Schizosaccharomyces pombe: one gene and its partners. The gene in region 1 interacts genetically with each later gene. Each region holds a gene or a part of one and is shown in the gene's direction. Other genes may lie near its edges.

Region 1 (11,476 bases):
AAAAGTTCTAAACATATTGCCATAACTATAGTTACTCGCGTAAACGTGCTTCCAATTCTGCTTTACGAGCTTTACGAAGCTGTTCAACCTCATCTTGACTAGTGTTATAGCTCACATTCATCTGAAATTGTTAGTAAAAATGATATTTACAATGGTTTTCCTGTTTAGGGTTTATACATGATATGGTCATCATCAAAAAGAGTATGCATGTACCCTTATCGCTTCTTACCTTATTGAAAGGATTGTCCGGATGTTTCTGAAATTCTTTATACATTATGTCTTCATATTGGTTTAAACGGAGGCCCGGTTGTTCTTTGCGTAGTTCAGGCAAACGAGATTGTTTGTATTCTGTCAAAGCTGCTTTAAACCGACGTTCAGGATGACGATCAATTTTATCTTTGGACGATGAATTGTTTAAACTTAACAAATCCAAAGCATCATCAATATTGCGGGCACTATATGAAGCTGTCTGAGGGGTTTCGTTGAGGAAAGCGTCTAAAGATGAATTCTTCTTTGCAGCCTTCTTTGACCCCTTTCCTCCTTTAGATGGAAGACTCTCCATTTCTTCTTTTTCTAAACGTTCACGTTCAGCTTTCCTCTCCAACGCAGCTTTTCGTTTTTCAGCTTCTTGCTCCTTTTTATTAGTTTTGACGCCCTTGGACCATTTTTCGTCTTCTTCAGCGTCTTTTTTTTTCTTTTCCTCGTCTTGTTTTCTAGATTTTGCCGCTTCGGCCTTTTCTGCTCTCTTTTTTGGATTCCCCATATCAAGGCTATTAATGGTATGTGAGATTTGAATGACTTGAACAACAGGTGATTTCTATATGCCGCCTCGTTATAAGAAAGGCGACGAAGGATGGATTAATAATCTGATCTGATAATTTTTATAAGTGAATGTCTCGTTATATCTCCCTATTTTTATCAGTGTATTTACAAAGGTGTATTGATAACACTGAACAAACGGCGTCAAACGTTGGTATGTAACTGAATTTTTATCACTAAAATAGAAAATAAAAGTTCTTAATTGGAAATCTGCTACTATTTATTTCCTTAAATGCCTTGATGCAGGCTAAGGGTATATTGAATGGTATAGACACTGCATAATACACCATAAATCCTTTTTATGACATGATGGCATTCTTAACAGTGATAACTCATTAAAAAGAGAAACAAAGTCAACCGATGTAAATTGATCATACTCTTCAATTACAATATTATATCATGACAATTGTTATGGACTTCGATGTGTATTTCATGAAGTTTGAAAAAGTAAAATATATCATCAAATTAAATGCTTATTCTTGCCAAATTATTCAACAATATCGTACAGTGAACAATTGCTTTCAAGTATTGATTAGTTTATTGTAATCTATATAAGTATTAAACTTCATCTTCGATACAAATAACGTACAAACTAACATTCCGATCATCTTAATTGTTAAAGGAATTAATGAATCTATAATTCTAAATTATTTTTTTTAGCACTTAAATTTACTCATCCTATTATTTACATTTACAGTATACGGTTTCTTAACGAGTATACGCTATTATTATGCCGAAACATGAATGCATATCAATTTTGGTTCTACCAGCACTGTTCCTCTATTTTGAAGGGTTTATAAGTTAAAGTCAAGTAAGCATTACCTCTGATTATTATTTCATTTTATATCAAGTTCTTAATCAACGTTCTTATTTTTTTAATTCGTGTCTCTATATTTTGACAATTACTTGAAAACTTGTCATACGACAAAGGTAAAGAAGGAATTGCTAGCATTTATAGCTTTAAAACGATGTATATTTTCTATTAGGGATATATTGTTATATTTTTGACTCTCAACGAATACTTCGTACTCGGTTCCTTCGATTGCTGTTTATCCTATCTGATATAAATTTGAAAATTTGAATTAGACCCTATGCTAACATATTCTTAGTTACATGTATATATAGAATTTTTTTTCGTTTAATTTTATTTTTGAAAATTAAACTTTTTGATCACCTTTCGTAAAAGTTCCTTTCGATGAGCTTTCTGAATTCTTGGAGAGCTGTTAAATATACAAATAAGCCTAAGGAAGAAGACATCAAACTCCCAAATTCTGCATCAAATCTTCCAACTACTGTACAAGCATGTGTGATACAGTTTATCTCTTCTCTAGTTAGTCCGGTTCACCCTCAATTGCTTTCGCCTGAAGAACTAGCAAAAGCATTTCAAAACTTTTACAAGCATACCGATGAGTTTATTGCTTCAACCCTTATCCCTCAACCCTCTTCAAAAGATCAAAATGTGCCTCTTTTGTTTCCTGAGGAAATAGATGCTCAGAAAAAGGCGAGACAACACTTGCTGAACCAAAAAGATGAATGGATGGACCAAATTGAAGATATAGTTTGCGAATATTTGTATGATCGGTATGTGATTACTTCGCCTACAATAACTGTTTACTAATATTGTGTTAGGATTTTCTGTTTATCTACAAGTACGGATGCTGCCAAAGATGACTTGTTAAAAAAATTTATTGCTTCTGAAGAAAAGAAAGAACTTATCAATTGCATTCCAATACCTGATGATGAAAAACTTACAAACCGGTTACATGAAGTCTCTGAAGCATTTTTTGCTCTCGATGAGCAACACACACCTAGATCGAAAATAAACACTTTTATGACCGTTAATTCAAGTATATTGAATGCCTCTCAACTTCCTCAAGAAGAATTGAATGCTGATTCTTTATTAAATTTGACCATATATTGCATTCTCTGTTATCCCGGATTTCATTTAATATCGCACCTGAATTTTGTGTTACGCTTTCGAAATGCAGATTTTTTAAGCGGAGAGCAAAGATACTGTCTCACAACTTTTGAGGCAGCCCTTACTTTTATTCTTCGAGCTTGTCCAAATCTTTTAACTCAATCGTCAATTCAACCCTCTGATGATCCTCTTTCACTTGAGGTAGCTAATAGCGAAACAGTTTCGACCTCTAACTCGCTTCATGATCCGAGTGCAGAACCCTACCCTGTGAATCGCTCATCTTTATCTAATTTAAGAAATCTGGGACTAGCACTTGAGAAATCTTATGCCTCTCTACTTAGTAAAGTAGCCAATCACACTGCCAAAAGTTCAGAAGATTCTTCCAATTCTGTAGAATTCGTGGGCGACCCACCTTTGGAACGCTTTTTGACTGTTTCTGATGCTAGCGATCTTAAAATCGGTGAAATTGAACTTCTTCTTTCTGACTATAAGCGCCTCGCACGTTTGCTTTTTGAGAAAAATGGTAATCAGTAATTTTGACTGAATATTTTCTTTAAAAATTTCACATCCAGTTGGTTTTCGGCTTTGTTTATGGTTATTTGATTCATTTGAGAGACAAAGTCATATAGAAAAGTTATATGATTGATCAATATTTTTTTTTTCTTTGTTGCAGGTCAATTCGTGAACAGCTTAAAAGTTTAAAAGAAAATTTTTATTCAAAACAAGGATTGATTATTCCTTGACGTCTATTTTATTAATGTATGAATATCACAAAGAACTAGCAAAAATGATTTAAGCTTGTATGTTGACGCAAAGATTGCATGCGAATTAAATCCTTACAAAGGAAATATATGAAACGAATATATCATGTTACTGCAAAATTTTTAAATATACTGAATAAAATGAACTGTGATTCTTTGCTCAGTGAAGAAAATAGTCATATTTGAAACTAGGAATTAAACACACAATCACAAACTTCGGATTATAATGGGTAAGAAAGTTTTTTAAGTTGTCACATTATATATAGTAATGTTTAAAATATATTTCGGATAATCATATATATCTTAATTACAATAAAGAAGCGTGATTTTGGTACATGAATTTATATACACTTTCAAAATATACGTTCATTTTTTTATTTAAAATTTCTCTTAAGGCTATTTTATTTCAATGCGATAATCGAGTGCTGTGTGGACATCAAATGATTGGTTGCACTAAATGTTTATAGTGAATAGTGTAATTTACTTCCTTAGAAACCTAGATTTTGAAAAATTGCAGTCGCGCTTTAATAAGTCTACTTCGAGAGTGAGAATGCAGCATTAGCTTGTGGTTATGGAAAATGACGAGGCTTTTGATAGATTAATAAGAAAAATTCAGGAAAATCAAAAACACCCATCTTTCGAAGGGTCCAATAAAGTTTTGCATTTGGCGCTTTCATACCTAAATACTAACAGACAAAACCCTCATTGGGTTTGTGATCCTAAATTACAAGTAGCAGTTCGTGAATGTCTTTTTCTATTTTCTTTTCAAAATGATAACGAGTATCTGGTATGGTTCAAAAAACATTTGAACGAACGCCTTCAGTTATGCCCCAAATGTATAGTTAAATATCACCAATCTTTAGATGATTTCAAAAGTCTATGTTTAAACATTTTTCACTTTGACCCAAATACTCTTGAGATTGTAATGGAGAAAATTTATAGTTGGGACATTTTTCGGTTACAGGAAGTTCTCAAAACAGTGCCTAAAATCGACACGTCCTCGGCCTCTAAACCTATACTATGCGCCTTCTACGAAATCTTATACTCTCCTCGTATTTTACATAATAAAGAAATCTTTCCCTTGTTCCGAAACAGATTTCTTGAGTCCGGTTTTCTTCGGCTCTCGAAAAACCTAGTGCCAGGTGTCATAAGTCTTCTCTTCTCGAGAGATGATGAGCTCCGAAGATGGGCTTGCAGTATTTTAAGTGATGTAAAAACAATCTCCGATAATGAATTTAAAATCCTTGAGGGTCCCCTTCTTCAGGAAATTCGTTCTTTAGACCAGAAGAAAGAAAATGAGAACGAGATGCAAATTTTTCTGAAAGGTTTATCGTTGCTGTTAAAGCATGTTGATCATCTTTATTTTAGGGGACTTACAGGAAAAAATTTCAATGTCGCCGATTTTATTCTTTCGGGATTGCAAAGCGACCATACTAATTTATGTCCGTCTTTCCTTGTATGTTTACATTCTTTGTTATACTGCTATGGACGTAATTTTTGGACGCCAGAAATTTCTCCCAGTGAAGTAATAGATAAAATTTTTAATGGTAATGCTTATAAGAGGTGGACAGAAGAAAATACATCCAATTTTTCAAACGACCAAAAGGCAGAGAATCCGTTTGAATGGGCTACCTCTCTTTTGAAGACAATTTCAATCATTGATGAAGTTGAATTAATTAACAAAATTTTGATTAATTACACCATGCAATATAAAAAGGAACTGGAAGTCGGTTTCAAAAATGTTCAGTTACTTCAATCACTTGCTGACATATTTTCAGTTTTGTTTTCCGAATATTTTATGATTTTCCCCCATAGTGATCAAAGTTTACAAAACAAAGTATTTGAATTACATTCCACTTTAGCGATTAAGTTTGACGAGCTGTTTCGTTTGCTAAACTTGGAAAATGAAGAGTCTGTTGAATGGAGGCTTATTAAGAAAGTTTTTGAATACCGATTGAATTTAGATCTTTATATTTTGAAGCAATTCTATTGCCATTATTTGGACAGAAATAGAAAGCCACCCTTGAATATCAAATCGGTAAGTGAGTCTTTTAAAAATTTTTGGGTATATTTGCAAAACGTATTTCGAGAGGAGAAGTTCTTTATGGTTCGTATTGTTTTTCGTGCTTGCTCTACAGTTTGCTTGATTGATAAGTTGCCGCCTAAGAAAGTTGACATTCCGTTCAAAAGTGATTTCGAAAATGCACTAAACGGATTTGTTGCAACATTTTCTGAAATGCTTATTCAGACTCAATGTTGGCATTTGTCGGCACAAACCCAATTGGTTTCAAATCCTTTAACTTTTCGTGGAATCTTTTCACTCGTTTTTTCTCCAATTCTTGAGATCTCAACAGGAAGTATCTCAATTATTAAATCTATTTCGCTTTCTGACAGCGTTGTTGATACTATAGGAGAGCTATTGAGAAGCCAGTTTTCAAATACACTAAATTCTTCATGTTATGTTCTTCTGCAGTGGCTTAAAGTCAGAAACTTTGGAGGAGCCAAGCACATTGTTTATTTTAATAAATTAATTATAAACACTATTTTTGACTCTGTTGATGGCTTAACTTCTAAGGATGCGACTTTTGCAAAACAAGTGGAAAAGAAAGAATCCCTTAAGAATTTCTGGGAATCGTTATGGAAATTCTTTACTCATTTTTTCATTGTTCTTCCTACTTGGCCAGTTCATGATAAGGACAATTTAGTTGATTTAATGCGGGATACCCTTGATTTTTGCGATATGCTCATTAATATTTTTGAGGAAGTTAACGGATTCATTTTTGGATTATCGGATAACGATATTAAAATTGTTTCGGCTAATGATAAGGGCAGTGCTTTAGCTATGTGTATAGCTGATTCTTTGGTTACTGTATCTTATTGGCTTAAGTTAACTGATTCTTCACTTCTAACATCCGTTGTGAAAGTGATTTGTAAAATGCTTAAAATTTGTAAAAAGTTGGAGTGTCCAATTAGTCAAAATGTGATTGATATTATCCATAGGGCATCAATTACCAGTGATGAACAAACAATTCTTACATTCACTGAGAGAGAGGATCTTTTTATATCGCTCACACCATACCTTTCAGAAGACGTTCTTAATCACTCTCCTTTCAATGATACCAATACGCTTGAAACTAAGTTACAGAGTGATGATCGGGGTTTGCTTTCTAAAGACCAGACTATTGGGATTGCGAAAAAATTACCTGAGTCAAACATTAGTACTTCAAATCATTTTTTGCTTCCTCCGAAGGCTATTTCTGCTTCTAAAGCCATCAATAGAAATGCTCAAAAATCTCAAAATTTAAATTTTTTGAAATCTAAACAAGAGACAACACAGCGAATTCGCGAATCCGCGAAAGTTCCAAGAACCAGTGCGGGGAACCATCTTTCTGAGAAACTTAATTCGGATAATCATATACCAAAAGCTTTGCAAAAGCTCGATTCTGCTGACCCAATTCGCAAGCCTTCACTTTTGCACACTTCTAAAAGTTATTCTAATCCAGATGACAAAAATACTTCAACTTCCGATGAAGATACCTCGGAGTCCGAAGAAGAGTCTAGTAACGGTCTATTCTCGCTTGCACGTGAAGCTAATTCTCATGCCTCTAAATCTCTTCCACAAAGAAGGCAGATTCAGTTCTTGGACTTTGATTCCCTTAAAACAAAAAATGTAGTTCATCCTACTCAATTGCGCCGTAATACTCAACAAAGTGCACAACTTGCTCGACTCCGGCTAAACCCTGATGTTCAAGAGTTTTACAAAGTAATTTTGGGTTGGAACCCATTAGCTGATTCTTTTTCGGCGTCTAATGTTGAGATGCAGTGCGTCCAAGCTAAATTCACGTATAATGATTCAAACGCTTATGAGAAAGTTTTCAAACCAATGTTGTTTCATGAATGTTGGGCTCAAGTGAAAAGTGCCGTTGAAGAAAAGCAATACCCTCCCATAGATTTAATCCTCAACACCCGCAGTACAGTTGATAACTTTGTCGATATTTACTTTACGTCCTGTTCACCTACCGAAGTCTCTTTTTTAAGTGATACAGATATTTGCTTACTGTCAAAATCACAAAGTTCGGGCGATACTAATAACCCAAAATCTTTTCAGTTGTGCAAAATTCAATCCATTTCTCGTAAAAAAGAATCACTTGAACTCTGTCTGCGGATGAATATTGAATCAATTGATCTACAGGAGTATGCACCGAACATTAGGTTCACAGCACAAAAATTATTTAATGCTACTACTAGCTTACGTGAATTTGCTGCTTTAAAATCTCTTCGCCATTTACCATTGTCTCAGAGAATTCTGGATGCCAATGTAACGCGTCTACCTTCAAATTTTACAGATGACAAAAAGCAAAAAATAATGAAGTCTTATGGTGTAAATGAACCCCAGGCATATGCGATTTATGCATCTTCTGTAAATGATGGTTTTACGCTCATTCAAGGGCCTCCTGGAACTGGAAAAACTAAAACCATTCTAGGCATGATTGGAGCTGTACTTACTTCTTCTAGTCAAGGGTTGCAATTTAATGTCCCAGGACAGACGCGAAAAACCTCAAAGAATAAGATTTTAATATGCGCTCCTAGTAATGCAGCCATAGATGAAATTCTCCTTCGTATCAAAGCCGGTGTTTACGATCATGAGGGTATCAAATTTTTTCCAAAAGTTATTCGTGTTGGATTTGGTGACTCCATAAGCGTTCACGCTAAAGAATTTACTTTGGAAGAGCAAATGATAAAGCAAATGGAACTTACGAACCTAAAGAAAGATCAAGAAGCAAACAATTCCAGTGATACTCGGAAAAAATATGACTCAATTATTAAAAAAAGGGACTCTTTACGCGAAGATCTAGAAAAGTTTCGTAGTACTGGAAAAAATAGTTCAATATTGGAAGCACAGCTTCGTGAGATTACCAAACAGAAAAACATGCTTGAACAGAGCCTTGATGATATGAGAGAACGTCAACGCTCAACTAATCGTAATCTGGATGTTTTGAAAAAACAAATACAAAATCAACTACTTCAGGAAGCTGATATTGTATGTGCTACCTTATCTGCGAGTGGTCATGAACTACTTTTAAATGCGGGTTTGACTTTTCGAACTGTCATAATTGATGAAGCTGCACAAGCCGTTGAATTAAGTTCAATCATACCTCTTAAGTATGGCTGTGAGAGCTGTGTAATGGTTGGTGATCCGAATCAGCTTCCTCCTACTGTGCTATCAAAAACCTCTGCAAAGTTTGGATATTCACAATCTCTATATGTCAGAATGTTCAAACAGCATAATGAGAGCGCTTGTCTTCTTAGCATACAGTATAGAATGAATCCTGAAATTAGCCGATTTCCCAGCAAGTTTTTCTATAATTCAAAACTACTTGACGGTCCCAATATGTCAGCAGTGACATCTCGACCTTGGCACGAGGATCCGCAGCTAGGTATTTATCGATTTTTTAATGTTCACGGGACGGAAGCTTTTTCCAACTCAAAGTCTCTGTACAATGTGGAAGAGGCTTCGTTTATTTTATTATTATATGAGAGGCTAATTCAATGTTATCTAAACATTGATTTTGAGGGGAAAATTGGAGTTGTTACCCCTTATAGAAGTCAAGTACAACAGCTTCGATCACAATTTCAAAGAAAGTATGGTTCCATTATATTCAAGCATCTTGATATTCATACCGTCGATGGGTTTCAGGGACAGGAAAAGGACATTATAATTTTTTCTTGCGTTAGGAGTTCGATGAGCGGTGGAATCGGTTTCCTTCAAGATCTTCGTCGGCTTAATGTAGCTTTAACAAGAGCTAAATCATCTTTGTATATCGTAGGCAATTCTAAACCGCTAATGCAAGAGGATATTTTTTATAGCTTGATTGAAGACGCAAAAACTCGTGGTGTTTGGAGAGACTTGAGTGCTAATCAATTTAAGAACTCAAAAAGTATATCAAACGTTTCGACACACCTCGCATCTAACAATTTAAATTTAGCCTCACGGGATACCCCAATTAAGTCGCCGTCGGTTGGTATCTGTGAGGAAAAACAAGAAGCACATAAAGTCAAAAAACGGCACAATATAGATAGTGCTAATTTGTCAAGAGGAACTGAGAGAGATGAAGATATACCGAATAAGCGCGCTAAGAACAAAGTTTCCACTGATCAGACTGCTGCTGATAATAAGGTCACGAAACCACGCCTTGATGAATCATCCAGTTCCAAGCAAGATGTGTTAAACAAAATAGACGAATCTGAAATTGAACAAGCGTCTTCCAAAAAGCCGGGTTATGTGGAAAAAAATAAAGATAAAGGCCATATGAAAAAATCAAAAAAGCCCAAATCGAAACTTGCTCTGGCGGCGATGGCCCACGGTTTTGCACCTCCAAAAGTTGAGCATTTCAAAAGGAAGTAGCCGATTTAGGTTTTAGTATGAGTATTTTACAGTATTACTTTTTTAATAACACGAGTAGCGGGACGTTTTCAATCATTTGAATCTTAGACATAGTTTATTTATTAATATTTCTCCTATCTAAAAATGATTTTGCTTACAACAACACTATATTAATTTTTACTCAATGGTATATATAAACAGGACAAATGCACCAGTATATTCTATATGTTTGTGTTAGGATTATATCAAACTTGTATTAGCTCATACTCACAATTTCATTATTAATTAGCTTCCAAAATATGCTATAAATTAGCATATTATCAGTGCATGTTCAATTGAGTTCTACAAAATACATTGAATCTATAGATGGAGATACATGGCAAAAACTTTTTAGAGACATTAAAAGAATTGGAGAAACACGTAGATTCAGCACACTATGTTTCCATTGATTGTGAATTTTCCGGATTATTAAGAGACTTCAACCTTAACAACAAAAATACTTTACAAGACAGATATGAGTTACTGAGAAAAAGTAGTATACGATACACAATTTTACAAATTGGTATAACCTTTATTTATTTGCAAAACAATGGAAAATCTTCGTGTATTCCCGTAAATATTAACGTAAGTCCTCTAGTTAAAGATGAATTGCACCTTAAGAGAGACTTCTGCTCGGAGGCTAGCAGTATTAAGTTTCTGATACAACAAGGTTTTGATTTTAATAAACAACTGACAGAGGGTGTACCATACTTATCACGGATTGAAGAAAGAAATTTGATCGACAAGGTTAATGAAAGATCAACTGACGACTTGACCAGCTCAATTTTAGATGCTTGCGATGAAGAAATTCTTGTTGACGCAAGAAATCAAATTAAGAATTGGTTATCGAGCGAGTTGTCACATTCCACTTCAAAATACTTGAACATTACTACCTCTAATCGTTTTATAAGAAAAGCAATACAATCCCTGGTTAAAATTGAATTTCCAACTTTAAAGAGTTACCCCAAAAGAACATTTCTGCAGGTTCGGAAGGCTATTGAAAATTCGACAACTCAATGCTCTGCCACTTCAAAAAGCGAACTCAAAGAAGATATTGCGAGCGACCAATTAATACTTAACAATCTAAATTTGATCAAACAGAATGTTGGGTTGCGACATTTATGGGACTATATACTTAAGAAAAAAAAGTCAGTAGTTTGTCACAATGGCATGGCAGATTTGGTGTATTTGTTTTCCCTTTTTGAAGGAAAAGTCCCGGAAACGATATTAGAGTTTTCTGAGCTTTGTTTATCATCTTTCAAATCTATATATGACACTAAACTTCTCTACTTGAAATCCGATGATCTTCAACATGTATCAGATGGGATACCAACGGACTTACTTTCCTTAGTTTCAAAGATATCTCTACCGCCAGTACCTTCTAACTCCTCATCTCAAAGGTCAAATGTTTCTTTAAATTCGCTGATTGAATGTCCATATAAGTCAATGATGAGCAGAAAACGCCCACATGAAGCAGGAAAAGATTCATACGACACTGCTCTACTATTTGTTTACTACGTTATGAGAACAAAACACTCGGATATACAGCGATGG
Region 2 (6,702 bases), 1.5 Mb from region 1:
GAATGCGAAAAGATTCTATAATATCCCGCAGACAGAAAAGTTTAAGTTGATTAGTGGTACAACGACATGCACTTCAGTCGATTACATCGTAAAGTTACGAAGTCTGTTTTCCTTAACCTACATATTAAAAATCAAATTCAAAGTCAAATTGTGAGAATTAAAATTAAAATAAAAATAAATTTACAAATTTATAAAAAACAAACATATAAATCAAGAACGAATGGTTCATCTCAGAATTAAGCACAGTAAAAATAGAAATAACCCCTTTAAAAGAATGTAACGTATTTTCAAATGAATATAACGAAATTAGTAGAAGAATCCTCATATCTGAGGTTTTTAAGGCGCATTAACGTTTAGCTATACGAAGTCTCTAAAGCAAAGACTTGAGAATAATTTTAATAGAAAGCTCTTTGGTTTTAACGAGAAAATACTCCAAAACCCTGGCGTCGTTAAGCTAGACAAATGATTAAGAAATATCAATAAAATAAATTTTTCTTAGACATCTCCGTACATCTCGGTAAATTCATAATGTTATTAAGAACAATCGTTATTTAGTTTTAAGATAAATATAAAATATCGTTATTATTAGCAGCGGCTATAGAAATGCTGCAATCAAGGACGCGATTTTTAGACACGAAGCAACAGCAAGAAAGCTGGTTGTTGTGCATAAAGAGCATTCTGACATTATTTTTGGGAATACATTTGTATAATAGTTATTGATTTAATTAGATAAAAAGAAAAAACAACATTCTGAAGAGAGTGTTTGCGAGCATCTATTCATAATGCCGAGGGCTATTTTTGAGGAAGATGCTGCACAATTAAAACTTGGTCCAGGTTGGATTTGAATTTTATTCTGTTGCTAATATAAAAAGAGTTTGAGAATGAGGATATGTTGACGGTTTCAGAGGCCAAAATCCTTATTGAAACAGTTCTGGCACAACGAGCACGCGAAACTAATGGTGAGATTCCAATGACTGAGTATGTCTTATTGTATGCATATTCTTTTTTAATTAACTAGGATAGTGTGATGAAAAAAACAGTAGCTTACTTCAATGTTTTTGCTCGGTTTAAAACGGCTGAAGCCACTTATGCATGTGAAAGGTACATAATTTCAAAGAATTGAATAGAATTTTAGAGGAAAATAGCCGTATGCAAATATTTGACTAACCTCATAGAATTCTTGGTAATCGATTCCATAAATTTGAACGTGCACAATTGGGAACACTCTGCTGCGAAGACGCTGAAGAGGCTAGGACCTTGATTCCTAGTCTCGCGAATAAAATTGATGACCAAAATCTTCAAGGCATCTTGGATGAGCTTTCCACTTTGCGTAAATTTCAAGATTAATGCAATAAATAGATCTCAGGCAAGTCTGTTTATTGTCAATTATGAAAACTTAAAAGGTTTCCGGTCTTATAAACTATTAGCTATATCAGGATTTATAATACGACGTTTTTGTCATTATTATTCCATAATTTATGAGGGGTCATAAAACTTTTTTTAACAAAATCTATGTTTTTTTATGCACCATACACTTCTTAATTAGTCTATTAAAAAAATATAATACAAACACTGAATACACGCGAAAAGGAATTTAGATAAAATGTATTAATTAGATTAAGTAAGTTTTAACAAGGATCATACTATTGTGAAGCAAGAAAAACTAAACATTTTGAATCAAATGGGCGTTCTTTGCTTCATAAAGGACTAGCAAGTTGAGTTTGAGGCAGGAAAACTTGAAGTATTTAAAATCGTTTACACATCCAGATAGCCGCTTTGCAACCCATTTGAATGGCATTGGTAAGCAATGCATGAGCTGGAGCTTCCTTTGCGTTCCAACCTTCGACTGCAGTGTTCAAATGCTCTAGCTCGTCATCTCGAAACTCTGCCAAATGGCTACGAATCTCTTTAAATTCTGGAGCTTTATTTTCCAAATGAGCCGTTTCACGTAGTTGGTCGTTATAGTGTCCGCCAATTACCGTTTCTACTGCCTCTGTACAAGCCATAGCTGCTTTGGTTCCAAGCAAAGCAGTTCCTGCTCCCAACGCAAATCCAGCGATGTCCCAGAAAGGACGTAAAAAGGTAGGACGGACTCTATTCTTTAAGACATAATTATCAAATGTTGCGAGATGGTACTTTTCTTGATCCCACATATGCTGAATGGTAGGTGCGACTTTGGGATCGGTAAATTGAAGGATAAAGTGCTGACCTTTGTAAATTTGATTAGCGCCTAATTCACCTGCTTGATCGACACGAATGACGCTGTCCAAAATATTTGAGTCTTTCTCGCTCAGTTCTTTACGGCCCATCGAAATTCTACGGCATGTTATAGAGGAGCGAAGAAAAGGAGAAACCGACTTGGTAGCAATGGGTATTAACTGTCTACGTGACAACATCTTTTGTAATGGTAAAAAGGCCTGAAATTACACAGAGTTATCAATTTTCAAAACGAAATTTTACTAATCAACAATAAACCAATATTTCTAATTCACTAATAGATTGAAATATTCGACGAAAGAGACTATGATGTTGATTGGGTGTGGAGGATTAGAATGTGAAGTTCTCTACCAAACCGAACGTTTTAGGCGGAAATGCTTAGTTGAGTAACACGTTAGGCTTGAGGTGTATTTCATATCAATCTCTGAACAAATCTGCAAAATTCAAGCTAGATGGTTAAGTTAAGAAGGAATTAAATTTAAGTGATTTGATGTTCACTCTATTTTTATGGAATAAAATATTCGATAAACTTGTCGTTTATTCTTTTGCTTGATTAACGCAGTGAATACCAGTTGCTTCAACTTTATTTTTAAGTCAAAATGAAAAATACATACTTAGTTTTTAAACTAAGAGATTCAATAAACAGTGGCGTAATTTCAGGAAAGAAGCAATGTATCATTTTTTTCCTTAGCTAAATGGCTTTGCTACAGTTTCATAGTGTTCGTCAATCTTGACGGATATAGAAGTTCAATAATAAAATGCTTCTTATAAACAATAAAAAAAAAAAACATATTTAAGCTGCAGTTTTAAAGTAAACTCCAATTTCCTATCTTTTTTCCAACCAATTCAACTCAACATTGTATTTTCGCTTAAAAAACTTTAAATTAATTACTAGTTCAACCGAAGGGGAATCCGAAGATATACAAATTTCCAGTATTACTGATATAACAAGTACAAGTAGAGACTCAAAGACACCCCATCACAATTAATTTTTGACTTGCTTAATAATTCAAGAATGTAATTTGGCATTATGGATTAATTTTCTTTGTTATAGAAAAAAAGCTCCAGAACCACACCCACCTCCCCCATCGAAAATTTACAATTTGAAATATGCGAAATCAATCATTTCTTTCCTTTTTCTAATTTAATCTTTTAAACACAAATGAGTACTTATGTTTTTCAGGCCTTCTCTCATTATTTTATAAAATAGCAATATCGTTAAATTCCGTTGTATCAAAGACGTCGTTTGAATGAGCTTGATTCTTTACCCCAAACCAACTTCGTATTTATATCAACCTTTTATAAAAGCATATTTTTCGCTAAACATGGCCATTTTTGAAATCAATAATTCTTTTTTAATTTGTGCTGTATCTATTGCTTTGAACCCTCTGCTATGGAATATTGCTGCACGTTCAGAATACAATCATAAGACTTTGACCAAATTGGCAAATGGCGACTCTAAGAAGGCCTGTTACATGCTAGCAGCTTGTATTTTTGTTGCCGGAATAGTTCGTGACTTAATTTATCAGAATGCTTTAAAACAACAACCTACGCTAGGTATCTTCATGAACCCTCTTGTGCAGGGTATAGCTAAGCTCATTTTTTGTTTTGGCAGCGTCCTTGTCTTATCGAGTATGTATAAGCTAGGACTTGTTGGTACATATCTTGGTGATTACTTTGGATTTCTGCTTCCAGAGCGTGTTTCTGGTTTCCCATTTAATGTCAACGATAACCCAATGTACAACGGTTCTACTCTTTGTTTCCTTTCTACAGCTCTGCGTTATGGAAAAGTTGCTGGCCTCCTTTTAACTTTGGAAGTCTTTTTCGTTTATAGAATAGCTTTGAAATTTGAAGAGTAAGTTGCCAACTGTTTAAATTTTTAAATTTTTCTTTACTCTAACCATTAATAGACCTTTTACTGCTAAAATTTACGCTGCTCGTGATAGCAAGCAAGCTAAAAAATCCGAGTGAAGCAGCTGATTTGAAGTGGCCATAAGTTAAAGCTTCATTAGAGTTTTTTATAAAAAAAAAAAAAAAAGGAACAATTTTAAATGGAATGTTCTGTTCATGACTAGTCCTTACCTTTACTAACGCTCCTCCTTTAACCGATTTTGCCCTATGTACTTTGACGACTTCAACGTCTGTATAATTATGCATAGTTTAACGCTTTTTTTTTCAAATTATTTAAGTGTGTTGATCGCGGTCTCAACACCATGATCCGATATTTTTATATTCATACTTATGTAAAAAATAATCTAATATTTTACACCATGTAAATTAACGTGCTTTCATTCTAAAATCAAATAAAATTCAAAACAAATATATTAGCAAACCAAAAAAACCCCGTTTTGACCAATTTATATGTACAAAATCAAACTCTATAAATCCAATCGTTCAAGAGGAAAAACAGAGTACAATTTCTAATTTATTTTCCAGAACGTTTAATAGATTTGACAATGCGATCAAGTTCTTGACGTTGATCTCCTTTTTCAGCTTTACGCTTTTTGATTTTAAGCTCAGGCTTACCGTCTTGTGTTTGTTCCAATTGATTTGAGCGTCTTTTACGACTTTCGTCCATAATTTTTTCCACCGTTTTAGTACGTTTGAAATGAGGATTTGTTGGATCAAGTGCAAAATTATGGTTAGTATATAGAGCAGCAAAACGTGGGTCACTGACATCAGCTTCGAATCCTTCCTGCAAGCCTTCCAAATTGGAGGCTTTTTTCTTAAGCTTGCGATTCTTCTTAAACTTTTCAGCCTTCAGTATACTCTTCATGTCAAAATGATCGAGCTGCTCAGAATCGTTTTCATCTTCACGAACAAGGTTTTCCAGTTCTTCTTTAGACGCGGCCGTAGGATCTTCAATTTGAGTATGCTTGCCCTTTTTGTTTTTCTTATTGTTACGACTAGCATCCTTGTCCTTAAAGAATGGATCATCAAAACCAAGATCAACGTCGGATCCTTCACCTTCATCGTCTTTTGTTTTCTTAAGCTGTCTCAATTCTTTCCGTCTTTGTTTTCTTTCAGCGGCCTTACGCTTGTATTTTTCAATAGTGGTTTCATCTTTTTCCGAAGAGTTCGCATTGTTATCAACATCAAAACCTGAAGTAAAAGTAACCTCCATCTCACCATTGGCGCCTTCAAGTTTGTCATCATCCTCAAAAGGGTTACTATTCGCTTGGAAGTCATCAGCATCACCACTTAATAACTTTTGGTAACGAGAACGAATAACATCTACATCCTCATCTTCAGATTCACTTGAGGCAATGTAAGCGCTAAAGTCTAAATCTTCAATATCCTGAGAAGTAAAAGCCTTTTTAATTAAATCCTTTCTGTGTGGATCCTCAGCATCCCACGAAAGTTTAACTTTTGAATGTTGCAATGCATCGGTGACAAAATCTCTCGGCTCATATTTTTCGGGCGCTTTAGTACATACTTCGCGAGATTCATCGTCGTCAAATGTAACATCATCTGGAATGAATCTTAAATCGTAAATATTAGCGCTAGTTTCATACTCAGCGCCATCACAAGTTTCGTATATAACCTTTGCCGTTCTTACACTATCACATTCCACTACTGCGTAATAGTAACGAAGCCTTTCTAATTGATACTGGCGTAATTTTACCATATCAAACTCGTTGCCTAAATCCTCCTCTATTAAAGCATCTTCCTCATCTTGATCAGACTCATTGTTATCAAAACCAAATTTTTGAGCCTCATGCAATTCGGCGCTAGAAGGTTGATTGTCAGCTGGAGTAAATATATCACGTGGAGGACCCTGAACATGTTCCGCAGCCATTCTGGATTTTCCAAATTCACTGGGATAAATCGACACTTTCAGTAACTTCCCACCAGGAGGACAAAAAGAAGAAAGAGCAACAAAAAGATCAACTGCTTGAAGATTATCCCAATCCATGTTTACTACAGCAAGACGGTTAGTTTCTGAACCACGAGGAATATTCTCTTCTGGCTCGATTCCAGCTAATTCGGATATCTCCGGTTGAGCTTCAGTTTCACTTTCAGCGTCGCTTTCATCGCTACTTTCCGAAGTACTAATAATTCCCTCACCACGAGCTGGATCATATACTTCCTCATCTTCGGACTCCTCATCGGTTAATTCTTCCGATTTTGTGGATTTCGAAGACGCTGAAGCGACTTCTTCGTTGTCAGTAATTTCCGATGATTCAGACGAACTGGACGACCCTTCATTTTCCAGTTCATACAGTCTATCAATCTCTTTAGTAGCCTTATCTTGGTTGAGAGGACGGCCATATCGATCAACACTGGCAGTAGTTTTAAAGTCCTTATCCTCCTTGAGAGATTTAAACCGCTCATCAACTTTTACTTTAAAATTGCCACGTTTAAGTCTAGAAAATCTAGGATCAGAGTGAACTGATTGAAATCTAGGATCCGCAACTACGTTGCTTTCACTCCTTGATTTAGCATTAATAGGCTTCGTCTGCTTTTTGCCCATGACTACTTCCA
Region 3 (7,346 bases), on another chromosome or scaffold:
AAATTTTTTGTGATCAAAGTCTTCATAGCACTCCATGCAGTATAACGCATGTTTCGGTCTGTAGCAGATCCAAAGGACGAATCACAATACGGTTGGGCCATCGTAACAATTTGAGGCTTTGTAGCGAATTCGTGTTTATTAAGCATATAAAGAGCGCAAAGAATTGAATATGCACCAGAACGATAGCTCGGAACATAGACCTTTCTCTTTCTTGTAGTCGGTTTTTTAACGCTTCGAGGCTTTTCAGAAGAAGTCTCAGAAGACGATTTATTAGCATTGACATGAGAATCATTCTGTTCATTGTGCGTGCTAATTGGAATATTATTTTCCAAACAGTAAGCGTTCCATTTCTTTTCTAGCTTGGCACAAATCGTAGGGCCAATTCCCTTCAGTGCCAATGCCTGAGAAGGACGATGAAATGTGATGGGGCAACTTTTCATTGAATCGTAGGCCTAATTATTAGCACGGTTTCTTATTTAAAACAACAACAACAGTGATTGTTATGATATTTATGGAGTACGAAGCTATAAAAGCTTTCGAAAAATTACAGTCATTATTAATTTAATATTTAAATTATTTATTTTTCAAAGAGTTTTTCACTAATCCAATAAATTTCCTACCTTTCTCCAGGTTTGATATGACTTGGGGAAGCGACGCGTCGACTCTTCCATCCACTCCTGTATCCATTGTAAAAACAGCGGATTTCCACAATCCATGGATCCGAAAAACAAAGAAAAAAACTATTTCATTCAAATTATCGATTGTCACACGAAACAAAAGTCTAAACAAATGGATGTGGATAGAATGCGATTTCCTAAATTTCGTGTAAAGACATTAGCATGGTTGCCGGGACAACCGAGATTTTATGATCAGTATAAACAAAATAAAGAAAACAATTATAGGTGAACAAAATAAAAAATCATTATCATCATTATAAAACAGTTTCTCGTGTATTAGGGTATATTTTTAGAAAGTTTGTGAAATGATGAAGCTTTAGATCATAATAAAGCCATACTTGGATGATTTTCTGTTTTCCTAAAAGGAAGGGGTTTAAGAAGATCCCTTTTGTTTCTCGAGCTGCTTGGCAGAAGTATATGCTCTTTGGCGTTCCCATAGGACAAATTTGATAGCTGCCATGGTTTTATTGACTGCAAGTACACGCTCATTTGAGGCTTTGGGAATAGTCAACTGTAAGCGTTTCATTTCAGCCCTTTGTGTGAACAATAGGTTCTTCTCTCGGAGACAATTGTACCAAAGTCCATGTAGATCATTAAAAGACTTCCAACGAAGCTCTTCTGCAGCCCATGCTCTACCGAATTTAGCCTCTTCCGATGGTGGTGGAAGGGCTTGCTTGTCCCGAAAGAAATTCCACAAAGGGTGCGTGTCTGAAACCTTAGGAGCACTTTTTACTTTTGGAACAGGAAATACAAAGCCCTTTGGAATACGTACGGCTGCTTTCTGAGCGCTAGCCAACGTGGACCTCATCTTTGGTGGTAAGTAGAAGGTGCGCTGTAACACCCTGACATTGACCGATAATAATGGTTGTAAGTCATACTTTAAAAATAATTATTTTTTATTATACTTCATTGACTTTCTTAATTATTGCTAAATTGAGAAATTGTTCATTTCCTTATTTTATTTTATTTTAAGATTTCATGGCGAGGAAACATTCCAAACGAAAAGTTTATAATGTAAACAGAAAGTGTGTAGGGCGATTTATGTATTTTCCCTAGATTTGTTATCGAGTGAAAAGTTTGAATCCATGAAGGAAATACTAAAGTACTTTGATTTGCAGCTAATACATGGTGTAATGATACATTGCTTTCGACCGCTTATAAATTTATTTCGAGATTAACGGGACGCAACCGTTTAATTAAAAACGGGAAGTAAAGAAATTTTTTTTGTCTATACATTTAGAAAAATTTGTTCAGTTTCATAAAACAGTAGCACATAAATTTTGAGGATCATCGGTGGGGAAAGAGACAGGCACCAATTTAGGTACCTTACGGTTTCGTTGAAAAGTAGGAAGTAAAGAGGGTTGGAGGTGAGGGTATTCTTCGACTGTTGCTATTTGATAGATGCTACCGGAACGGACCAGTTGACCTTTATTTACCATCCAACGAATGGCCTCGGAAGCGCTGTCGTGAAAAGTTGGTAACAATGGTACGTTTTGAGCAAGCCAGTTAAATATTTCATCTTTGGAAGGTGAGAGGGTGTTACGAATAGCTAACCGTATTAACGTTGGATAGTCGTATAAGGTTCCAGAATTCGCAACATAACTTGCGGTATAGGGGACAGGTGCAGGCTCATCAGAGGGAGCTTCATCTTGTTTAGCATGAAGTCGCTCTTGTAAAGATATTTGTTGGCGTTCAGAACTAACAAGTAGTTGATGCCGAATCTCACCCAACAACTCCCGAGTACGTGGGTTGTATATGGGAAGAGATGGATAAGACTTTTCACAAAAAAGAATAAGATCTGCGAGATGAGGAGTAGGTAAACTTGATAGATACATTTTTTTGTCTGATTCACTTAACCCAAGATCTTGTGCCGTCATTCCCGTTTCTAAAGGTTGCTTGGCACGCCTGTACTGGCATTTCATACAAAACCATTCAGCATCCACATCCTGAACGGTTGCATCGTCAATCGGAGGGTGATGGCAAAGCTGATGATATGGAGAATTGCATCCATCACAAAATACGATTCGATTAGATAAAGGAGAATGTCCTCGTTGACAGACGCTACACAAGGTGACCATATCGACCTTGCGACTTTTCCGTTTCAATGCGGTGGCATTAGGATTGTATGCGACTGGCCGCTGAATCTTTCTACCCGATTTTGTTTTCATTCCTTCCACGTGAAAGTCTTCCTGTAAATCATCCTCGGCACCTTCTGCAACATCGAGATCGTAAAATGGTATACGATTATCGTCTTCCCGACGAGACGATCGAATGCGTCCATTCTTAGTCTTGGTTGATGCAGACTTGGGCAAGCGATTGAATGATACAGACAAAGAAGGATCTTGCTCCGGTGGTACTGAAGTAGCGCCTGAAGAGGAAGATGCAGGCATAGTCATACCGCCATACGGTGTCTGTACATGCTGCTGCAGTTGATGGAAATCAGCGCCAAATGGTCCAACATCGGAAATTCCAGAACCCGATGCGACAGGGGAAGCATCAAAATTCGAGCTGTCCGTTTCTCTAACTACACCTTGAGCCGATACCTGAGGAAGGGATGAATCAGCACCATTTTCAAAATGGAAACCGGCATAGTCATTTACACCATAGCTCTTTCCTTCGTCGAAAAAATTCTTTTGAGACATTGTAAAAAACGAGGACTAATAAATATGAGTAATTTGGAAAATTTTGATTTAAAACGAAATGCACAATTAGATGAAACTAGCAAACATGAAACGCAAATTAAAATGATGATACACGCAATTGTCACGCAGTGAATGTTAATTCAAAATATCTGAGACCATAGAATAACTTTATGTAAAAAGTAAATCTTCCTAAATCTCAATTCATTGATGTAAATTCGCCATTCAACGAAAGATGAGTTTAACACGCGCGTCTCAAGAAGAAGGTATGCATAGGCCATATAAAACTGGCATCGTTTTACAGAGCCAGCCTTACATTACGGTAACAACATAAGCAACAAGACATTTTCATTCGTTAAAATGCACAAAGCACATCGTATAAGACACGTTAATCATCACTAATCTAGCTTCTCGGCATAAAAAAATTTTAAAGTAAAACGCACAATAGCCTATGTAAGCGGTCCAATAAGTAGTAAGTTGATAACTTTAATTAGTAAAGAGGGCGAATCAAAAGCTTTATATATATCTAAACTTTACTAAATTGGCCAATCAGCAATGCGTTTTGAATCAACAAAATGAGGTATGACAAAGAGAATTTCTTGCTCTACATCCCGGCAGTCTTTTGTTCGTCTACCAAACAACAAGGAAAAGGCATTTTGGGCATACATATGCCAAACTTGTGATCCTTCACAGTACAAATTGCTCAAAGATGCCTGTCTTTATGTTTGATGAGCACGACAATTTGAATGAGAATTACAATTCCCATTTGTCTAGTGACGATGAGATTGCAGAGGAGGGATATGATTTTGAAGAATTGGAGGCATCTGCGTCGACAATCACTTCGTCAAGTGATTTGAAGGATGGAAAGAATGCCAAAGATGAAAAGGGGACGGTAGAGTTTAAGGTTGCTGCCCATGGTGATTTTATTTCTTCCAAGGGTGACAACTATGTACCAAGCGGAAAGATGCGTCCAGCAGACTTTCAACCCTTAACGGTATTGGGTCGTGGCTCTTACGGAAAGGTGCTCCTAGTGAAGCAAAAAAATACTGGACGACTGTTTGCTCAGAAACAGCTAAAGAAAGCTAGCATTGTTCTTCGTGCCAAGGGCCTCGAACAAACCAAAAATGAGCGACAGATATTAGAAGAGGTTCGACATCCGTTCATTTGTCGCCTTTATTATGCTTTTCAAGACCACGATCGTCTTTATCTGATATTGCAATATGCACCTGGAGGAGAGTTATTTTCTCATTTGGCCGAGCAAAGGATGCTTCCTGAGGATGTGGTTGCTTTTTATACTGCTGAATTGACTCTAGCATTGATACATTTACATAAACTTGGTATTGTGTATCGGGACTTAAAGCCAGAGAATTGTCTTTTGGATGCTGAAGGCCATATCCTTCTTACAGACTTTGGATTGTCAAAGGTGGCTGAAAATGGAGCTGATTGTCGTTCTTTTGTAGGCACTGAGGAATATTGTGCTCCAGAAATTTTGTTGGAGCAGCCATATGATCATGCCGTCGATTGGTGGTCTATGGGTATCCTCATATTCGATCTTCTTACAGGATCTCCCCCCTTCACCGCCAACAATCATAAGAGAATTATGGAAAAAATCACTCGTGCAAAGCCTAACATACCTTTTTATGTGACTTCTGATGCTAGAGACATTATCAACAAATTTCTCAAGAAAAATCCAAAGCAACGCCTCGGCGCAGATGGTCCCGAGAAAGGTTACGATGCAATAAAAAAGCACAGAATTTATCGCCGAATTGATTGGAATAAGTTAGAGAAGCGCATGCTGCCTCCCCCAATTGTTCCTTGCATCACCAATCCTGAGGCTGCGGAGAATTTTTCAGTCGAGTTTACCAAATTGCCTCTTTCTACAACACCCATTCTTCATGAAGAATTTGGGAATTTAACAATTGGTAGCCATTCCTCTGCTTTTCAAGGCTTTACCTATGTTGCGTCTCCCAATTTTCTCAACTGTGAATTTTTATCTAACAACGCAGTTTCGAACCATTAAATAGGTTTCGCTAAAGCATCATTTACTAAGTGCTTTTTTATTTTATGTGTGAAAAGGATATTTTATTTTAAACAAACTGATTATTCTCACTATATCATAACTCCTTTCATCCTTTAGGGACTCATAATACTTGAAGAAACTCCATTAATTAATCGTTTTCTATCGAACATCGATCCTTAAGATTCTAAGATTTTAATTATAATTACTGTTAATTCTTTCATTAGTTGCTTCTTTACTTAATCCCTTTTCACTAACCATATTATTATTACACAATAGAAAACTTTAATTTTATATATATTTATATACATACTTTACAAAACATCGGTCAGCTTAGTGTTTTCTTTAATATATCAATTGTTCATACTTTATATTAACATTAAAAACAATTTCCTGTTGAAACGAATTAGCAACAAATGATTTATAAAAATACAGACTGAGGGCTAACTACAAAAAATGATAAAACAGTGATCTTATAATGCTATGTTAATAATATCAAGCATGCCGACATTAGTGACTCGATTCCCAGTGTCAACGGGAGATAAAATCGATTGTTATGCAAACAAGAAAGAGGCAATTATACAAAAGAGACATATAAATAGATCGATTTGCAAAAATAATGGCATATGCCCGAATAAAACGAGTGTATAGTGGAGTCAATGACTACCTAAAATAATAATCTGCTGAACAAATAAGTGATGGAACGACGTTCATACAAACATTTCAAAATTAATAGAATAAGGGCTGTTCAATGTAGCAATGTAAAAAAATAATAAAAATCTGAACCAATCAACCAAATTCTTAACGAACAAGGGCATTCATAAAATTAGTAACGAGAGTAAAGGTTTGACAGGTTTGACAATGGGCAAACTCAATTGGTAAACAGACATAACTAAGTAGACTTCTTCAAGTGATTATGAAGCTGAGATATTATATGCGACTTGCTGAATCGTGATGATGAACGACTAAGGTGATGTTTCGAAGAATCACTCATTTCAAGCTTTGAAGCAGAAGAGTTACGCTTTTTTGCAACCTTTTCTCTTCGACGCTCTATATCCTTTTGGGAGGGAGTGCGCCTAAAATTCCTTCGGAAACACAAGGAGAGAAATGCATTAGCGTCAAGTAACGATTTGGGTAAATCTTGAATCACCTGAAATACCTCTGTCTGCTCACTTTTCGACTTTATATCATCTTCACCAAGTCTTAAAATACACAATGCCGTCATAAACAAAACTTTGCTGCCTTCATAGAAAAAACAATCCCATACACGAAGAGCAGTCTCCGTAGGTAAAATGCCAACAAAGGCACTCATAAACCAGGCAGCAGTTACGAGAGTAATGGGAGGAAGCTTTGCCACAATATCATTGACGGGTATACCATCAAAATTAAGACTGATGCGGCTCCAAACCGCTGGTAAGCTTTCTCGAACGGATGCCATCAAAACACTTTGGTCGATGTTAGCACCTTCTAAATTGGCATCATGCATCTTTGGTAAATATTTACGACACGTAATTACGAGCATCCAAAACGCCTTTTCTTCACTCATAAAAAGCAGGAAGAAACCAGCAAGAAAATTCAAGCTTTGACAGTAACCATTTTCAGGTAAGTATGTTGCAAAAGTCATTAGAACACGACGCAGTTTTGAAATCATTGGAACATCAGGCTCCTCTGATGAATGCTCTGATGCGTCGGATGAGTTCCTAGAATGCTTGGATTTATGTCGAAAATGTACATTGTCTGGAAAGGTACGATATAGATCACGTTCAATAAGGTCAGAATCTGAGGGCTTTTTTATGCACGCACAACGCCATAGAGTCTCGTACAGTTTAGGGTTTCTCTGAAGTAATTCGTAACCACCGCTGTAATAAAACCAGGCATTGCCACGATACTCGGGTGGTATTCCTTTGCGAATAAATCGTTGAGTTTTAGCACTGCGGCTAGGAAAAATACTAGGAGATTGGTGTATATAGTCTATACCGTTTTCTTGAAGGAAAAGCTTCCATCGCTGTTCGC
Region 4 (7,465 bases), 2.3 Mb from region 1:
AGCAACTGGAGCAATTTCAAACCAGTACTCTCGATCAAGATCTTCACTAAATGTCATTACTCGATTTACTTATTAATTCTTTAAAGAAACGGCAACTGATCGAAAATCAGTTTTCAAAGCAATACATTATGTTGTCTCTGCAAAATTCTGTATGTTTCGTTAAATTGTGCCTTAGTTTTCCTTTTGAAGAGAAATGCATGGGGAGGCAAAATTACGATGACATGGTCTGTGGCGAGCCATCCTTAATGGAATCAATACTTATTTTGGCTTAGATATGTTCTCTGCGCATACCATTATATTTGGGATTTTACTTTCTCTTTTTACCACCTGAAGTTCTGAAATAAATTTTTACGTGCTTCTATAACTGAATTCGACTACGAAAACTAGGATGAGGATGGATGGCTCTGATTTTGAAGATCGAAAAGTTAGTAAACCGAGCCCGGTATTACCTTTTGATGTTAGCAACATTGGTGATTTGAGTCAAGGGGTACACTCACCGTTGGGTATTTCGCATTTCGATTCCAAAAATCCAACGCCATTTGGCAGATCAACAAAAAATTCTGTTTATGAGTATGAAACAGTTACGCCATATTCAAGATTTAAAGTTGATAAGAAATTTGGATCAGCGACTTCGGTATCTCCAGTTCACACCAAAGCTGAAGAACCTGGTCTTGGTTTAACTCCGATGAATAGTGCGGATTTCTCTAACAAAATAGCTAGTAGATATAGGTCCTAAGTCTATTTGCTTGATTTCCTTAGCCCACCTCCTTTCCAATTCTGACACATTTATTGATTAATCGGGTTATTCAAGTTATATTTTGTTTTGATCGTTTTTATGACTAAATCGTTTCTATGATTCATCTTCGTGGGTATTGACTATAATGATTAAATTTCATAATTTTATTTTAGTTCGGAGCATGCTGTTACACACCGTCAATGCTTTGTTTTAGTTTATTAATGAATACCACTAAGGTTTCGAGGTGTATGGAATAAATATTTCCATTTTGCAGAGTATAAAGCTTAGAGATATTAATTACTTTTAATAAATTCGTGGTTATTTTAATTGAGATAAAAGTGCGGTCGATATGACCATGCTAAATTGCCGTTTTTAAAAGTTTTGATTATCGCATATATTATTAATTAACTTTTTATTAATTATCCTATATGGTTGTATACCTGAGTGTGTAGTCTCTCTGTATTAAAGCTTTTGCTCCGGAATTCTTTTAGACTAAGAAGCTTGCTCCTTAACCTCATGCTTCGGATTGTATGGAAGCCATTAAAAATTCGGTTACCAGTATGGAGACGATATCAATCAAATATATCAATAAATTCTATTAGAAATGTGGGCATCATCGCTCACATTGATGCTGTAAGTATTTCCTACTTTATGGAACTGTTTGAGTACCTTGACCATAAGATTATTTACAACAGAAATTTCTAACTTTTTAATAGGGAAAAACTACTTTGACAGAAAAGATGCTATATTACGGAGGTTTTACTAGCCACTTTGGCAATGTTGATACAGGAGATACGGTTATGGATTATTTGCCTGCAGAACGCCAGCGCGGAATTACTATTAACTCTGCCGCAATTAGCTTCACTTGGAGAAATCAAAGAATCAATTTAATTGATACCCCTGGCCATGCTGATTTTACCTTTGAAGTTGAACGGTCAGTAGCAGTATTAGACGGTGCTGTAGCCATTATAGATGGTAGTGCTGGTGTTGAAGCCCAAACGAAAGTTGTATGGAAACAAGCTACCAAACGCGGCATTCCAAAGGTTATTTTTGTCAATAAAATGGATCGTGTAGGTTCTAGCTTGGGTAGCACCATTCGTTCTATATACACCAATTTAGACTGTCCATATCCCCTTGTACTTCAATTGCCAGTATATTCAGATGGATTACAAGAAAGGAAGTTTTTAGGCATTTTGGATATTTTGCAGCAGAAAATGATTTTGTGGGATACATCTGACAACAAGTTAGGAACAGATGGTACACATGTTCAGGAGCTTCCAATTCCGGAATCACACATGGAGAGATTTATAGAAGCGAGAAATGCATTAGTCATGAGCCTTTGCGATGTTGACGAAACATTATGCGATGAATACCTTGAGAATGAGGATTCACTCGCTTTCACTAATGACCGTTTATTTAAAATTATCAAACAGAAAACAATTTCTGGCAATGTAGTTCCAGTTTTATGCGGATCTTCTCTTAAAAATATAGCCGTTCAGCCCATCATGGATGCGATCATTGATTATCTTCCTAGTCCTGTAGAATTTTATGAAAAAAATGCTTCAAAAGAAACGAGTAGTGACAAAATAATCTCCCTGGATAAACGTCCTTTGCTTGCAAAGATTTTCAAGGTTATACATCATGCTTCTAGGGGAATTCTCACATATGTCAGAGTCAATGAAGGGACTTTAAGCCGAGGAATGATGATGTTTAATCCAAGAACTAAAAAGTCAGAAAGAGCAATTCGTTTATACAATGTATTCGCTGACCAGACTCAAGAAGTTGATTGCATTTCCGCTGGAAACATAGGAGTGATTAGTGGGATTAAACAATTTCATACCGGAGATATCATTATTAATAAAGAGAACTCAAAAAATTTTCATGAGTACCTTTCTGGAAATCAAAGTGTTATCAGTATTCCTGAACCTGTTTGCATTGCTTCTATAGAACCTTATTCGCTAAAAGATGAACCCGCACTTTTAGAAGCATTGGCTAACATGAATCGTGAAGATCCTTCATTTAGATATACCCAAGATTTAGAGAATGGACAACTATTGATACAAGGGATGGGCATTATGCATTTACAAGTTTCTTATGAAAGACTGGTGTCTGAATTTGGAGCTCGAGCATCTTTAGGAAAAGTTCAAGTTGGTTATCGTGAAACTTTGATTGATGTAAGCTTTAATTCAGTTACCTTAAGCACAGAAAATAAAGAGAATCTCATTATTAATGTTTACTTAATCCCTATTTCTGATGAAGGAGATGAAACCTTGAAAAAATATTTTTCTGAAGGTGAGATCCAAAAAGTTCGAAGTAAAGGGCAAGAAGATGGAGTTTTGTTTTATGGCTGGAAGCCGGAAAACTCGTGTACTTTACCGGATCATCTCTCTTTCCAACGTATTCAAGAAAACATCTACTTTGGAATAGTTGCAGGTCTATCGCATGGGCCTTTACATGGGTTTCCTCTCACGAATTTGCAGTCATTTTGTACCATTTCTTCTTTTCTATCTAATGACTTTCCGTTGTCACTTTTGACACAAGCATCGATGAAAGCTACCAAAAATGCAGTATTTTCATTATACAAGAGAAGTCCCAAAAGTTTCAGAATATTAGAACCTTATATGGATGTTACAATTACAACTCCTGAAGAATATGTTGGTATTGTTTCTAAAGATCTTGTAGGCAAGCGGGGAGCCACGATCAAAGAAATTACAGAGATTGGAAAGAATGCTGCTTCGAAAGACTCGCAGATAGCGATAGGAATATTAGGTGAAAGATATCTACCAGCTGATGAACCTAGTTCTGTTAAAGCAAACAATGCTTCTTCTCTACTACAGAGTTCATCTGTCATTAAATGTATTCGTGCTCAGGTGCCTTTGGAGCAGATTCTCGACTACAACAGTGTTATAAGCTCTTTAACAAAAGGTAATGCAAAATTTCTTATGTCTCATCCTATGGAATCTCAAACTCCCAAGCTGGTCAATTACGGTTCTTCCTTTCATCCTATGTCTATGCAGAGACAAAAACGAATATTTCCTTAAGGTCAGAAATGTGGGTTAATGGGTAAAATAAATACATAGAAAAAAAGATATAATTCTATTTTTCTATAAAAATCATCCTTATCATTAAAAAGCTGTATGTTTGACATTCTTTTTCTATACGTTTCGGTGTATGCATACACACACGTCTGCAACGGAGTTGTGTACATGTTGTCCCCAACGTCAGATGGAACCTACCGTTAGCATATATCGACTATAATTACTACAAAACGCCTAGACGAATTTAATGATGTCCGCTGAGGAAACTGTAACCCAAAACGCTCCTAATACTGTTCAAGATCAAGTTGAAGCATCTGTAGATGCTGCTGTACATGCATCTGCAGAACAATCTAACACACCTGCTCAACAAGCGGACGACTTTCGTGTTTTTGTAGGGCGTTTAAGTACGTCTACCAAAAAGAGTGAAATCCGTTCATTGTTTGAAACGGTTGGTACTGTGTATGTAAACTATTACTGGTTTTAGCAATTTCGAGTTAGAACAAAATTTTCTTATGTTTAAGCGCTAAAGCTAAAGCTCTCTCTATTAAAATCAGTGCATAATTTGGAGTTGTTGAAAATTTACTTTTTAGAAGTCATACTTTATATTTTTCACAAAAACGATTTTAAAACGGAGCTATGCGAGCTTATATTTACTCGAAACTATCTGTGCTACTTTAATTATATTTGATCATCTACTAATGCTTTTTAGTCGTAAAGTAACTATTCCTTTTCGTCGTGTTCGCCGTGGTACCCGTCTCGTACCTTCTGGCATTGCTTTTGTTACATTCAACAATCAGGAGGATGTTGACAAAGCTATAGAGACATTGAATGGTAAAACATTGGATGATCGCGAGATTGTTGTTCAAAAAGCTCGTCCTGTCCAAGAGCAACCTATAAAAGATAGGAAAAAGGTAAGTATACTTTAGTTCGCAAAGCTTTTATCAATATCATTCTGACACATTAGTCAAAAAATAAAAATGGTGAAGAACCTGAAACTTCAACTTCTGTCGAAAATGCTGAATCTGCTAAGGGCTCCAGTGATGAAAATGAAGCTAATACCGCAACAGCTCCTTCAAGTAATGAAGCAAATGGTGTCGATAAGAAACAAAATGAGATCAAAGGAAAGGGTGGGTCTGGTAAAAACAAGGCTAAGCCTTTGCCTCCCAACTCTATTTATGTTTCAGGCCTCTCCGTTACTTTAACAAATGAAGGCCTTAAAGAAATGTTCGATGCTTACAATCCTACTCGTGCTCGTATTGCTGTTCGTTCCCTTCCTCCTTATATTATTCGCCGTATAAAATTACGTGGTGAGCAACGTCGTGGTCGTGGTTTTGGATTTGTGTCTTTTGCTAATGCTGAGGATCAATCCAGAGCTATTGAGGAAATGAATGGAAAGCAAGTAGGTGACCTTACTTTGGTTGTTAAAAGTGCTGTCTTCCGTGAAGATAAGCAAAATGATGAAAATGAAAAAAATGAAAACGAACCTATTGAGGCTTCAGAATCTGCTCCCACTAACGTGTCTGATTCTACTGAGCCCAAAGCATCTGAGGTTGACTCAGAAGAAAAATCAGGCGTTACTGCTAGTGCTATAACTGCCTAAAAGTTAAAATATGATTTGTGATTATTCCTGGCTCTTCGTTCCTTTTATAATGAGCCTCGCCATTATACTTATATATGTCCCGAATACCCTCATGTTTCCGCACGTCACGTTCTCTCCCTTAGCATGGAACCCATGCATGTTCCTGGTAAAAAGTTGCAGCTTTGTAGACTAGACTATATTCATTGCTTGGAGTTCTGTGCCTTATATATTTTCCGTTTGTATCAAAAATACATTCGGGCCTATTGTTAAAAATAGTTTTGCATCTTTGTACATTTGAAACGTTAAAGTGCTTCAAGTAAAAATATACATTTTCTTCCAAAATTGTGAACGTTGTAATAATTGATTCACGCAAAATATAAGTAACTAGTTAAACGAATGTTATAGGCTTCTTAAGATTTAGAATCTATTGTGCTGCAATGTCTAAAACACAGGTGAGTATTAAATAACTTAAGTGCTTTGAGTCACATAAAAAGAGTCAGAGGATGCATTGTGAAGCATAGTTATTCAAAGAGAGCAGAAGTCTTTAATAACTTTAGCAATATAATAGAAATCTGATTCTTCTAAATACACCGCACCGCTAAGTCTAGTGTAAAATTTTCCTTTAAATTCCATAAATCGAAGGAATGTATTATATTTAGGCCAAAATACTTTCTGTGTTTCTATGGAGGGAATGTTGCGTAAGGGAACTTCGACGTTTACCATTGCAACTGGGTATGGAGGTTTGATAAAGGAAGTGCCCAGTTCTTTAGAAATAATTTCGGCTCCCTTTAAAGCTATTTCATGACAATATTGTTGAATCTTTTCTTCCCCTCCAATGGATTTTCGAAACTTAATAGCCTCACCAACAGCTATAAACTTAGGTAAATCTTGCTTGAAAGAATTGACAAACCGATTGGTAAGAGTATCTACGGCAATTGATTCCTTTTCTCTTAATCCATAACCGTATGAGAGAGGAAGTGCTTCGATGAGATTGTGATTTTTAGCTGAGACATAGAGTACAGTGCATGCAGCTGGTGAGTTTAACCATTTATGAGCATTGGTAAACAAAAAATCAGGATCAACATTAGCCAAATTCATAGGAATATGACCTATGGCATGAGCACCATCAATAATGCTAACAATATTATACTTTTTACAAAGCTTTACGACTTTTTCCCAAGGAAACAAGATAACGGGCATAGAACTTAAAATATCACAGATAAATGCTCTCGGCTTGGACTGCAAAAAACGCTGTTCTACTTCTTTAAGGAATAGATCTTCATCAATTTCCACCCCAACATCGATAACGTCTAATCGTAAATTATGCTGATTCTTTGCAAAATCAGCGGCATATGTACAAGTAGGATAGGCAACATTTAGCATCAATATCTCATCATTCTGTTCCCACGGAAATGTCAACAAAACCGTACTAATCCCATCTGTAGCGGAATTGCAAAAAACTATATTACTTGAATCCGCGCCTATCAGCTTGGCAACTTCATTTCGAGTAGCCTCCATGTACATCGGCATATAGGCATTGCACATAAAATCTGGCTTGCTCTGAGCTTCCTTTAAAAGTTGGACATGTTTATTGTAAACAGCAAGAGATTCTGTTCCACAACTTCCGTTATTTACATTCACGTAATCGGGATCAAGCATAAAATGCTTTTTCATTTCATGGCCGTAGACGTTGTTTTCAGCCATTTATAAAATTAAATCACAGTGAATTTCGGAACTCCCAATTTGTAGTTAAGTAGACAGTCTAACTTTGTATGTTTCCGTTTTGGATTACAATAATTGAATAATAATGACGATAGTTTGCTTGCTATAAAATGTCACAATGGCTTATTAACAAAATAGTGTATCGTCAGGCTAAAGGAAACCGTTGGCGGTTAGGTGCTAATGAAATGATTAATATTAGCGGATAACGGAATTAATATACTATCAAAAAACAGACGATCTTTGAAATTATAAAGATTTCTATCATAATGATAACAATAATTTTACAAGAAAGATACTTATAATCTACGTTTTTTGGAGATACGATAAGACTGATCTGATCTACAAAAGATCATGGCTTCAGAACTTTTTTCGAACATATCCGTTACTCTA

What was found.
Region 2: mutations in dbl8 (region 1) and cho1 together harm fitness less than expected from each alone (positive genetic interaction), as found in Schizosaccharomyces pombe (one large-scale study listed by BioGRID).
Region 3: mutations in dbl8 (region 1) and psk1 together harm fitness less than expected from each alone (positive genetic interaction), as found in Schizosaccharomyces pombe (one large-scale study listed by BioGRID).
Region 4: mutations in dbl8 (region 1) and tcg1 together harm fitness less than expected from each alone (positive genetic interaction), as found in Schizosaccharomyces pombe (one large-scale study listed by BioGRID).

What each region holds. Positions count from the first base shown.
Region 1 is NC_003423.3:2,555,721-2,567,196, reverse strand, and holds dbl8 (ATP-dependent RNA helicase Dbl8), read left to right. Parts: upstream 1-4,027; 5' UTR 4,028-4,069; coding exon 4,070-9,904; 3' UTR 9,905-10,047; downstream 10,048-11,476. Other genes in the region: oxidative stress transcription coactivator/ribosome recycling protein Oxs1, read right to left, coding at 32-121, 230-763; guanyl-nucleotide exchange factor Muk1, read left to right, coding at 2,015-2,400, 2,449-3,271; tri1 (CAF1 family ribonuclease), read left to right, coding at 10,250-11,476.
Region 2 is NC_003423.3:1,054,880-1,061,581, forward strand, and holds cho1 (putative phosphatidyl-N-methylethanolamine N-methyltransferase), read left to right. Parts: upstream 1-3,484; 5' UTR 3,485-3,542; coding exon 3,543-4,072; exon of another isoform or gene 4,073-4,089; intron 4,090-4,127; coding exon 4,128-4,188; 3' UTR 4,189-4,247; downstream 4,248-6,702. Other genes in the region: DNA-directed RNA polymerase II complex subunit Rpb4, read left to right, coding at 783-834, 873-978, 1,024-1,101, 1,176-1,347; ubiquinone biosynthesis protein Coq7, read right to left, coding at 1,746-2,396; pre-rRNA processing protein Esf1, read right to left, coding at 4,643-6,691. UniProt on the Schizosaccharomyces pombe protein: Catalyzes the second two steps of the methylation pathway of phosphatidylcholine biosynthesis, the SAM-dependent methylation of phosphatidylmonomethylethanolamine (PMME) to phosphatidyldimethylethanolamine (PDME) and of PDME to phosphatidylcholine (PC).
Region 3 is NC_003421.2:456,090-463,435, reverse strand, and holds psk1 (serine/threonine protein kinase S6K family Psk1), read left to right. Parts: upstream 1-3,940; 5' UTR 3,941-4,025; coding exon 4,026-5,336; 3' UTR 5,337-5,727; downstream 5,728-7,346. Other genes in the region: Holliday junction resolvase subunit Mus81, read right to left, coding at 1-452, 621-716; mrpl4 (mitochondrial 54S ribosomal protein uL29m), read right to left, coding at 1,051-1,485; PHD finger domain-containing protein Phf1, read right to left, coding at 1,934-3,319; GTPase-activating protein Gyp3, read right to left, coding at 6,226-7,346.
Region 4 is NC_003423.3:211,123-218,587, forward strand, and holds tcg1 (single-stranded telomeric-binding protein Tgc1), read left to right. Parts: upstream 1-3,976; 5' UTR 3,977-4,021; coding exon 4,022-4,233; intron 4,234-4,399; exon of another isoform or gene 4,400-4,483; coding exon 4,484-4,685; exon of another isoform or gene 4,686-4,738; coding exon 4,739-5,374; 3' UTR 5,375-5,779; downstream 5,780-7,465. Other genes in the region: protein Atg38, read left to right, coding at 1-50; protein mug168, read left to right, coding at 389-736; mef2 (mitochondrial translation elongation factor G), read left to right, coding at 1,253-1,369, 1,453-3,777; ergothioneine biosynthesis methyltransferase Egt2, read right to left, coding at 5,879-7,057. UniProt on the Schizosaccharomyces pombe protein: Binds single-stranded telomeric sequences of the type (TG[1-3])n in vitro. Has a role in meiosis.